Linked DNA regions of Tribolium castaneum. The protein of the gene in region 1 binds, or shares a complex with, the protein of each later gene. Links are inferred from orthologs where the notes say so. Each region holds a gene or a part of one and is shown on either strand. Other genes may lie near its edges.

The links.
Region 2: Rrp6 (region 1) and Rrp4 share a complex: the UniProt entries of both Caenorhabditis elegans proteins name them as parts of the RNA exosome complex. The link is inferred for Tribolium castaneum from reciprocal best matches to the Caenorhabditis elegans genes crn-3 and exos-2.
Region 3: Rrp6 (region 1) and Csl4 share a complex: the UniProt entries of both Caenorhabditis elegans proteins name them as parts of the RNA exosome complex. The link is inferred for Tribolium castaneum from reciprocal best matches to the Caenorhabditis elegans genes crn-3 and exos-1.

The regions. Positions count from the first base shown.
Region 1 is NC_087398.1:13,230,805-13,235,206, reverse strand, and holds the start of Rrp6 (exosome complex component 10 homolog), read left to right. Parts: upstream 1-1,534; 5' UTR 1,535-1,707; coding exon 1,708-1,797; intron 1,798-1,847; coding exon 1,848-2,240; intron 2,241-2,290; coding exon 2,291-2,469; intron 2,470-4,402. Other genes in the region: transmembrane protein 98, read right to left, coding at 420-503, 549-755, 803-1,037, 1,085-1,239. UniProt on the Caenorhabditis elegans protein: Catalytic component of the RNA exosome complex which has 3'->5' exoribonuclease activity and participates in a multitude of cellular RNA processing and degradation events. Involved in apoptotic DNA degradation.
Region 2 is NC_087397.1:170,247-173,292, reverse strand, and holds Rrp4 (exosome complex component RRP4), read left to right. Parts: upstream 1-1,197; 5' UTR 1,198-1,278; coding exon 1,279-1,403; intron 1,404-1,454; coding exon 1,455-1,692; intron 1,693-1,753; coding exon 1,754-1,888; intron 1,889-1,942; coding exon 1,943-2,122; intron 2,123-2,175; coding exon 2,176-2,388; 3' UTR 2,389-2,412; downstream 2,413-3,046. Other genes in the region: Impbeta11 (importin-11), read right to left, coding at 1-409, 462-562, 610-747; uncharacterized protein tyn, read right to left, coding at 2,817-2,968, 3,020-3,046. UniProt on the Caenorhabditis elegans protein: Non-catalytic component of the RNA exosome complex which has 3'->5' exoribonuclease activity and participates in a multitude of cellular RNA processing and degradation events. Involved in regulation of antisense ribosomal siRNA production.
Region 3 is NC_087401.1:17,299,371-17,302,349, forward strand, and holds Csl4 (exosome complex component CSL4), read right to left. Parts: upstream 1,588-2,979; 5' UTR 1,501-1,587; intron 1,445-1,500; 5' UTR 1,288-1,444; coding exon 697-1,287; 3' UTR 641-696; downstream 1-640. Other genes in the region: protein HGH1 homolog, read left to right, coding at 1,794-1,881, 1,928-2,928. UniProt on the Caenorhabditis elegans protein: Non-catalytic component of the RNA exosome complex which has 3'->5' exoribonuclease activity and participates in a multitude of cellular RNA processing and degradation events. Involved in regulation of antisense ribosomal siRNA production.

The DNA.
Region 1 (4,402 bases):
ACTCACATTTTCCCAAAAACATCAATTTTTCTTGAAAATAAAACAGTCAATAACAAAAATTAAAGAATTTTTAACTCCAAAATGAAGCTATAATTTTTCGAGGAACTGTTTACCTACATTATTTTCCACAATCATCGGCATCATAAATAAGATTCAACACTAAAATTTGTAGCCTGCATTGGAAAAGAACGCAATTTTAAGAAAGCCAATGTATCTTTGTGGGGAAACCCCGACTCTTTATTCTGTTTCTATATTTGGATATATATTTCTCTACCACGTTTGAACTCACGCATTTGAACCCACTTCGTAACCATGGTAATAAAGAGAAAAAATTAACAGATGGCGCCACATAGGAGGAAACCTTCATTAATCAAGGACGCTGTGGTTTTATCTTACTTAAATACGTTGTTCATGAATTTCTAAACACTGGTGTTATAACTTGCGTTTATGACGCTTTGTATCTTGCCTGAAGCCTCCTGAGTGACTGCAGCCTCTCGTAAAACCTGCAACACTTTCCTGAACTTGCGCTTTTTTTTTCCTATACGTACCACCATGTGTCCGTCCATTTCGGCCAAAGACTTGTCAATCCAACTAAAACTCTTGTCTCTTTGTCCGCACTCATATTTCGCAATGAGGGCCAAATGACTGACTGCCAAAGACAAAGCTGCAGCTCGGGCTTCCAACAATCGGGGGTCCAAAGGGGGGTACATACTTCGGACCATGTCGTCCACTCTGCTTGAAATTCTCTTAGCGCTCTGAAATTAAATATTAAAATTTGTTGGTACGAGTTTTTATTTTTTACTTCGACAATAAGGGAGAGGCCGCTGCCCGAGGCCTGAGTTGTGCCCATTGCCAGTGCAGTTAGGCGCTCCGTTAGGAACCTACAAGTTTTCAAAATCGAGAGGCAATGGGGGATCAGACCAGTGGCGTCGTCAATCCATTGTTCGTCAGCGAGGATTTGCTCAAGGTTTGGGTTTAACTGGACTTCCCCCAACTCTAGTTCGGCTTTTTCGGGCTCAATTAGCATCACTTCGGGCCTAGAATTCGGAATTATTGTTTGTTGTTAACTTTTGGGTGGACGTACCGAGACATTTCGTTCTGGTTGTCCAGATACGTGGACTTGTAGTAAAGCCGCTGTCTTCTGCATATTATTACAAGGACAACGAAAGCACTCACAAAAATTGCCGACAAGACCCCAAAGGCTATCGCCGCCACCATTTCGGTGTATTCCGGAGACATTTTGCTAAATAACCAGAGGCGCTAATTGTTATTGCAAATGTTGATTACGTGTGTTATTAACGATTACATTTTTACTTAAATCAGAATCAAACCAAACTTGTTGACCTCTTATTTCTGTAACTTTAGAAGTTTGTTGTTAACATTCAGAAAGCAGTTTCAGTAGTTTTAAAACGCAATTACATACCATTCATGGTAATTGCATTCGCTCAAACTTTACTTCCAAAGTGGGAGGCTTCGCACCATTTGCGTATCGTGTTTCAAATTAATACTCCCTTACGTTCAAATTAACAGTTTTTGGTTCCAATGAAATGAAACCATAAATAAAAACGGCAAAAGGAATTTTAAAAAATTCAATCCTCCAAAATATTTTTTCAAAATCCCCCTCCATTACAACTTCTTGTCGTCTGTCACTTGTCAAAAGTTGTGGTTATGTTATGAAAGTGAACAAGTGAATTATTGGAGCTTAAAATGGGTGACAAAGCTCAGGAGCACCCTGAGGGAGCAAGTAAAGACTCGGAGATTATCCCGGGCTACTCGTCCATGGAGCAGTTTACGAAGGTTGCTCATTTTGGTATTTTTGAGGTTATGTCCTAACGTGGGGCTTTCAGGACGGCTTTAAGGTCCTAATGGAGGCGATCAAGCACTCCAATGCGTTACCGTCGGGTCGCGACTGGGACTTTTACAACATTTCCGACTCCTTCAAAGAAATCATGAAAGTGGAAGGCAATCACGTCTTGCGTTTAATGAACCAAGTTATGCGTTGCAATGATCTAGACAGTAATCTAAGGAACCGTGTTTTGGACGAGAAAATCGAGCTTGTGATTGAGGCAAATGATATAATTCTTGAAAAAGTTGCTAATAATATCGACGAAATGAACGGGATTCGCAAAACGGTGGTTGCACCAGTGGTGTTGCAAACGGTCAGCGCCCAGTTGCCTGTGAATGGGTCTTGGAATCGGCAAACCGCTGCCACTGTTACTGTGAGTTCGGTTGTTCCTGAGGTAGTGCAATTTTCACTTTCAGTTGGGCTTTTTTAACGACGTACTTTCAGTCAAGTGGCCAGAACTGTATCAAACTGATTACCGCCAAGAATATTATTAGGCCCCAGAAATTTTTCAAGGACCAAATTGATAACAGGAATAAGACGCCTTGGTCTCCGAGGATTACGGAAAAACCAAATTCGCTGAAACCGTTGGCCATATTTTTAGAAGAATATGAAGACAGGCAAGAGTAAGTCATTTTTCTGTTTTACATCAGATATTGGAGTAAAAATCTCAGCGACTTGAAAAAGTCCATTAATGACTTAAACGTTAGGAAATTAATCTTTTTCTTTATAAAATTTGCAGATCTAAATTAATTAAATTAATTAACTAAATTATTATTTTCAAATATAGAGTATTTCAGAAATGAAATTCAGGATGACTCAATAGTGGGTTATTTACCGATTTTTGTTAATATGCAATCAATTATATATAATACTGCTGATTCCAGCAAACCATATTGGAAATCATTAAAAAATCTCAAAGTTAATCCACGATTACATTGTTTGGGCAATCAAAATGTCAAATTTGTTTTAACCGTTTTGCTAAAATTTCCTTATGGTCAGTCTTCAAGTGGTAAGTTTATTTTTGGTTGCATCTTAGGACATGTCAGAAATAATCCGCTATTGACTCACCCTGTAGAATACAAACTTATGTTTTTTAAATGGAGCACTCTAAATGTGATTGTATTTTTGAACGCAACTTTTAATACTGATGATTTTTATGTAAAGTTGGATTGGCCGATTCTGCTTAGTTATATAATATTATACTAATATACCTAAGCTATACCCTAAATTTTTGTTGGTACGTTATATCTAAACAAGAAAGTTTACACATTTAGCTCTCTTTAGTCGTCTCTACAGCAAAACTTTTTTTTATAACAAAGTTAAAAACTTAAGCAAGTACTTTTTATTTTTAATTTCTTTGAATTATTTTTTACTCTTGATAGCAGTAATAAAAAATCTACATTTCTCCTTATTTGTAAATTATTGAGTGCTATTGACAACTAATTGACTGGCAATTGTCGGATTAACAGATAAAATCACAGTGCAACTCGATTTATTTAAACTCTACATACCTGTAAGCCTAGCTTTGTTAAGCTTTATTTATAAGCCGAACCGGTGTAGTTAAGCCTTAAAGTCAATTTTAATTATTCTTGACAATAGTAACTATAGTAACTCTATCACGGATGATTTGTTGGGGTTTTAAAGATTCACCATAAATACATTTTAAAGTTCTTTTAGATACAAAAATTAAAGGTAAGTTGTTCCATTAAAATTTTTTAAATTATTAAACTTACAACAAACCTCTTCATCTTTTTATTTTTTTGAATGCAGTGAGTTAAAAAAAATGTATTCTTTAAGTTTAAACTTTTTTCTTTAAATCGGTGAAAATCCTACTTTTCGAGAATTCTTAATTTTTTGTAACATTTTTTAAAAAGCTTGTTTTTGTCAAAATTAATAGTTATTTATTTAATGAGTTTGAGTGTAAATCGGACGCTTTATTTCACGAGTGGATTTTTAAACCACGAGTGAAAACGAGTGGTTTATCATCCACGAGGCGAAATAAAAGAACCGATTTACACAAAAACGAGTTGAATACAACATTTTATTTTTCGAAATAGACTCAGCAAGGCTTAAAATTGCTTTAAATTTGTTAAAAATATTCTGACGTTTCGTACTGAGAAATGCCAAACAGTTGTCAAAACTTCCTTACACAGGAGAAAAACCGTAAATTTTGACAGTGTCGAAGAATAAATTATTTTAAAAAACTAAGTAAAATTGGCCTATAAAAAATTAGCTAAAAAACGTTAGTGTTAAAAGCTACATCTAAAAATGCAAAAGCAAAAAAAACATAAGTTTGTATTACATCTATATAAATTTCGGAAACAATCTGTATACTTGAAAATTATATAGTTTAGGTGGGCCAGGGGCTTGGTATTTACGCTTTTTGTAAAAAGATTAATTTTTTAGTATTTTCGAATCTCTGGGATCACCCTGTGTATTCATATTTTTAAAACATTTCGAAAAATTGCTCTAAACAGACTATTATATTCAAAATTTTGACTAACAAAACTTGACACACCAAACGTTTATTTTAAACACTACGCGTTTTAACCACAA
Region 2 (3,046 bases), on another chromosome or scaffold:
CAAAGTCAATAGTGCTTTTTCCAAATTTGTAAGAACTAGTTGCGAAGCTGCGCCTTTCATTACATCATTCATAAATTGTTCGGTGAAATTATTCCATAAATTCAACACAAACGAATAAATATTACTGGAAAACTCTTGGAAAAAACGGCGATCGCCTGTTAACCGTTTCGAAGCAATGGCTTTAACTACATGATGAAGAGTTAAAAATCCTCGATGTTGGACTAGAGAATCAGGACTTTCAATTACTTGTAGTAAAGTCGGAAATAATTCGGGCCACTCTTTCGGACAATCAATTCGTGCAATTTTCGAAATTAAAACCGCTCTTTGTACCGCAATCTGACTAACGGGTTCGTTAAAACTTAAAATTAAACCGTGTTTAATGTTTTGTTTTTCTGCCTCTAAAATAGCGCTAGAAATGGACATTAACTTTAGTTAGGTACATTACAACTTGCGTGACTTACTTTGGTGCGTTTTTTCTCCAATATCGTTCAATACCATTTTTTATATACAAAACTGCAATCCACCGTACGTTTATATCAAGCGAGTGGTTAGATAAAACATTCTGAAGAATGGTGTATTATTTAATTGTGTTTTTTGCCCAATACGTACAAATAAAACTGTGTAAAATCCAGGTTGAGTTTCCCATTCCCGTAATTTGGCTTCAGCCGGTTTTAACACTTCTGGATTTTGACTCGAGGCTCTTTGCAGAACTTCAATTACGATGTCTTGTGTTGATCCCGTATTCATTGTGAATTATAATCATTTCCCCCTTGAGAACCACAATTTATTATAATACACAACAATATACGAATTATTTTCAATAAATTTTAACTTGTGTGTAAGACAAATCGCAAAAGTGAGGTTAGAATAATTTAATTTTGATTTCCTAATACGCCTTACATTATGGTAATAACAAATTTAAAATTTTTTCATTTCAATGTGGAAAAGAAAATTTTGCCTCACCTGACCGGTATTATACAATTATTTTTTCTTAAATAAAATTATCAATTGTCAAAACACATATGACATGTTTCAAATGACATGCACGACTACCACAACAGTCATTAAAAATACCAAAAAACAAAAATTTCCTTTTAATAATTAAATTACACATAAAACCGACAAAATAGAAAATTAAAAACAAGTTTCAATAATAATTCAGATTGATAACAGAGAAGTCACAATTTTATATAGATTGCGTACTTGCGTATTGTTGCTTGCCTAACCCAGTAATTGTTGTTTCTAATCTCAAATGCGGTTCGAGTGTTTTGCAAGAACATGCCGCAAAAAATTCACATACGCCTTGCCGCTCATCGCATCAACCCCTCAATTGCTGTTAACCGTCGAGTTCCAAAGATATTTACTCCGGGACAAGTGATTACGGAGCAAAATGAATTTATGAGGTTAGGTTTGTCTCGTGTTTTTTTTTGAAATTTTGCGATTTTTCTAAATAGAGGGCATGGTACGTACGAAGAAGAGGGTTTTTTAAAATCATCAGTTGCTGGAGTTAAGGAACAAGTAAATAATTTGATTTCGATTCGTCCGTTAAAAAGTCGATATAATGGTGAAGTGGGTGATGTGGTGGTTGGACGAGTCACAGAAGTCCAACAAAAACGCTGGAAAGTTGATACGAATTCGCGTCTGGATTCGGTCTTGTTGTTGTCTTCCGTTAATTTACCAGGAGGGGAACTGGTACATAAAAGATTTTTTTGGTCGTTAATTTTGCAAGTAAGTTGGCAATATTAAATTTCAGCGGCGTAGATCAGCAGAAGACGAGCATATGATGAGACAATATCTTCAAGAGGGCGATCTTATAAGTGCCGAAGTACAGAGCGTTTATTCAGATGGTTCTTTATCTTTACATACTAGAAGTTTGAAATATGGAAAAGTTTGTCTCGTGTTTTTCGTTACGTTTTGATTATACGTTCATTTTTGATTGTAGCTTTCTCAAGGTATTTTAGTTAAAGTCTTTCCCTCGCTCATTAAAAGGAGCAAAACACATTTTCACAATTTCTATGTTGGGGCTAGTATTATTTTGGGCAATAATGGGTTTATTTGGATTTATCCAACTGTTTCAAATGCTGAGGATAACGCTGGTGGCTTTGTGCAAAATTTGGAACAAGTTGTGTCTCACAATAGTTTTGTTGTTTTTTTTTGCTACTGTGGTGTTTTTAGGTCGTTTCAAGGCCAGAAAGAGAAACAATTGGACGTCTTCGAAACTGTATTTTGGCGCTTATTCAAAGTAAAATGATGCTGTACGATACTAGCATTTTGTATGCTTTTGAAGAATCACAGAAATATTCAGTGGCTGAATTATTGATTCCTGAAGCTATGGTCGATGTAGCAATTTTGACTCAGGATAGGTTAAGCATGTTGGAAAATTCATAATAAATAGTTTTTTCTTATAAAAAATGTCTATTATTCGACTTGAGAACGTGTATAAAATAATCGATATAAATAATGTTAGCCTAGTCGAGATATATACAAAAAAGTAAATAAATAAAATAAATAAGTACACGAATTAGACTGTTTACCGTTACAAAATTTGCTCTAGGAACGAGAGTCAGTGCAAATTAGTTTTAATAAGAGATCAAGAAAGTATAACTTTTGCAACGGTAAAATAAAGCTTCCATCACCAAGGCCGCCACCTTCCCGAAAAAAAATCCTTAAAAAATACATATTGCATAATGTAGAGTCGGGGAATTCCCTATTTGATATCTCATCTCGAGTTAACGATATCACAGAACTAACAATGCTGCTCGTCAACTCAACCGAAAGATCAAACTTGATTAAAGCACCAAAGTGTCTCTAAATCTTCAAGCGATGTGTTTCCCGGGATTTAACCACTTCTTCATGTAGTAACAGAACAGCGTACTGATGTAAAGTAGAACTAATAAGGCACAAGTCACACCCAAGGCTAACACTGAAGTCTTGGTGGGGCACGGTTCAATGATCGTTACTGTTTTATCTAGAAACAAATCAATTGAATAAAAACTCGTCCGAAATCCAACACTAATACCTTTACCGAAATCAGCACTCGATTCGC
Region 3 (2,979 bases), on another chromosome or scaffold:
GAAAAAAAATATAAGGGTGGGTTTTTCAAACTAATATAAACCCCATCGAGTGACCCCTCAAACTTCACCGCCTGAACTGGACATTACAAAAACACAAAAATGTGTAGGTCTTTTATGGCTCCTTAAAGAGATAGCAAAATGACTATTGAAAATTACAATTTCAACCAGACCGTCGCTTAGACTACATCAAGTTGCATCTTTTCTCTCATAGAACAAAATTGCGCCCAACGCTTAGTTTCCGAGATATTTAAAGAATTAGGTTCAAATTCAAATTTTCGCGCCTGCGTTTATTTTTAAGTTTTTTGAGCACGTTTTTCAGGAAGCAGCGTGATTTTTTAAGTTTTTCAATTTTTATCGAATTACGGCTAAACTATTCGAAAAAGTGGAACTATTTTGATCCTTACCTATGCAAAATGATCCGGGAAATCGATTGACATCGAGAAAATCGCCAAATTCCCGATAGTTTTTTAGTTATGATTTTTTTAATGTTTCCAATTTTTGCTTTTGCTTGCAATTTTCTCGAAAACTATTAGTCGGAGAACAATAATCATTTTTGAAAAAAATAGATAATCCAAAGAGCTTTCCAACGATTATAAACTTTATAGGGTTATCTCTAATAGTTCAATTAACTTTTTTGCACTTTTAAGGGACGCAAAAGGGTTTATTAAAATAAACAAAAATACAATTTATTGAACATTATTTCACATCATTTTGCACGCTTTCTGGCACAACTCTTGCAACCTTCCTGGCCTCCTTCACAAACGTCTTGGAGCACTGCATCTCCGTCCAGCTCACAGGCACCATAAGCCCCCCATGTTCCGAGTGCGCCGTCACGACCCCCAGCTCATTCTCAGCCGTGGACAACTGATAAGTGTGAGCTTCCGTGATCGGCAAAACCCTCGCCAGAATCACGTCCCCGGGCCTGAAACTCTTGTAAATCTCCACGCGGTCCTTCTCCGTCGCTCGCACGTCCTCCTTCCGCAAAATCCCGCGATACTGCCGCCCCAAAACCTTATCCCCGACACACTTAATGTAGCATTTGCAAAACTGCTGCGTGATTGTGTGAATTTGCGCTGTGACGATGTCGCCCTGTGACGGCACGAGCGTTTCCTGCCCGGAACTGCGCACTTCAATGATCTGGACGTTGTCTTTGGGGACAATGTCCACAACACCGGCAAGGGTGGCGTAGATGTAGCCCCCACGCTCGTACGTGCCTTGACCGGACACGTGCGAGGGGTCCGACAGGCACAGCCGCTGCCCCGGGAGGCACACAAGGGGCGATGACATGCCCAAAATCAACAAAAAACGAAATTTTTGATTTTTTTTGAGGTTAAGTCAAATGTCAATTGACATGAAGAAATTTCAAAAACTGCGTGTTCCTTTTACTGTCAATATTATTATCACGGCAGACGACGTTCAAAGCCAATCAAAGGCACACAAGGAGCTATAACATGCGAAAAATCAGCACAAAAACGAAATTTTTGATTTTTTTGAGGTTACGTCAAGTGTCACTGTCAATTGTCAAAAAACGAATTTGCAAAATTTTACTTTCTCATTCATTAATTAACATTAATTACCAATTACGACCATTAATTTGGCTACAGAATTAAATAAACTGGTTTATGTTATGTTTATTTAACTACTCATTACACCCTGTATATACATACAACGTAGAGATAAACCTAAAAAAATAATGCCTTACTTATTAGAATGATTTTTTGCCACCTAACCCCACTTTTTTGACAGCTGTCACCCCTCGTGTTTTGTTTTTTTTTGGGGGCTTTAGCCTGATAATGGGTGATTCCGTGGCCGAATTGTTGCAGTTTGTGCATCTGGGGGCCCGTTTGGACCTCAAATCGGTGGCTTTGGGGCACATTTTGGGTAATAGGGTTCGAGGTTAGACTTGTTTTTTGTAATTTTTTTGTAGGTTTGACGGGGAATGCGGACGGAATTGCCACATTAATCAACACACCGTCACTTCTGGTCTCCTTAATCACACTTTTGAGTGATAATAACGCCACAATTGTCAAAGACTCGGCACTTTGCCTTGTTAATGTCTCTGCTGATCACAAGGGGGCCCTGGCATTGCTTGATTTGGACACGAGTGTGGGGTGCCCCCCTTTACAGAGCCCCCCGAGTGACATTACTTCGACTGTTGTTAAATTCGTGACGGACCCCATGAGTAAAATCGCCGATTTTTCCTGCATGATTTTATCGAACTTATCTCGGGCCAATCACGATAAAGTGATTGATGCGCTTGAGAAAAGCGCAAGTTTGGACGATTTGATTGACATTTTCACGAAAAAACAGTACAATAAAGCGGGGGCTAACCTCCACTACTTGAGCCCCCTTTTTTCGAACTTGTCGCAAAGTGGGCGCGTCCGGAGACGCTTCCTGGACCGGATCCACAAACTCGTGCCTTTCATTGAATTCGAGGAGTCGGCCGTGAGGCGCGGGGGCGTCGTGGGGGCCCTGCGTAACTGCACATTTGACCCCGAGTGTCATGAGCTGCTCTTGGGCCCCCATGTCGATATCTTGCCCCGGCTGCTCCGCCCCCTGGCCGGAAACGAGGAATTTGACGACGAAGACAACGACAAGCTCCCCCTTGAACTGCAATATCTCCCGGAGGAGAAACAGCGTGAAGAAGATCCAGATATCAGGTGCATGTTACTGGAGGCTTTGACCCAGTTATGTGCCAAGAGAAAAAATCGAGAATTTATCAGAGAGAGAAACACTTATGTGATTTTGCGCGAGTTGCACAAGTGGGAAAAGGACAGAAAGGTGCTTTTAGCGTGTGAAAATTTGGTCGATATTTTGATACGCACCGAGGAGGAAATTGGAGAAGATGATTTGAAGACACTTAAAGTGCCCCAAAGTTTAAGCGAAGACTTCAATAAAGCGGATGAGCAGTTTTTAAAAGATGAATAAATTTTTTTACAATTAAATTTCGTCTTTCTATATATTTCAAAAATATATAAT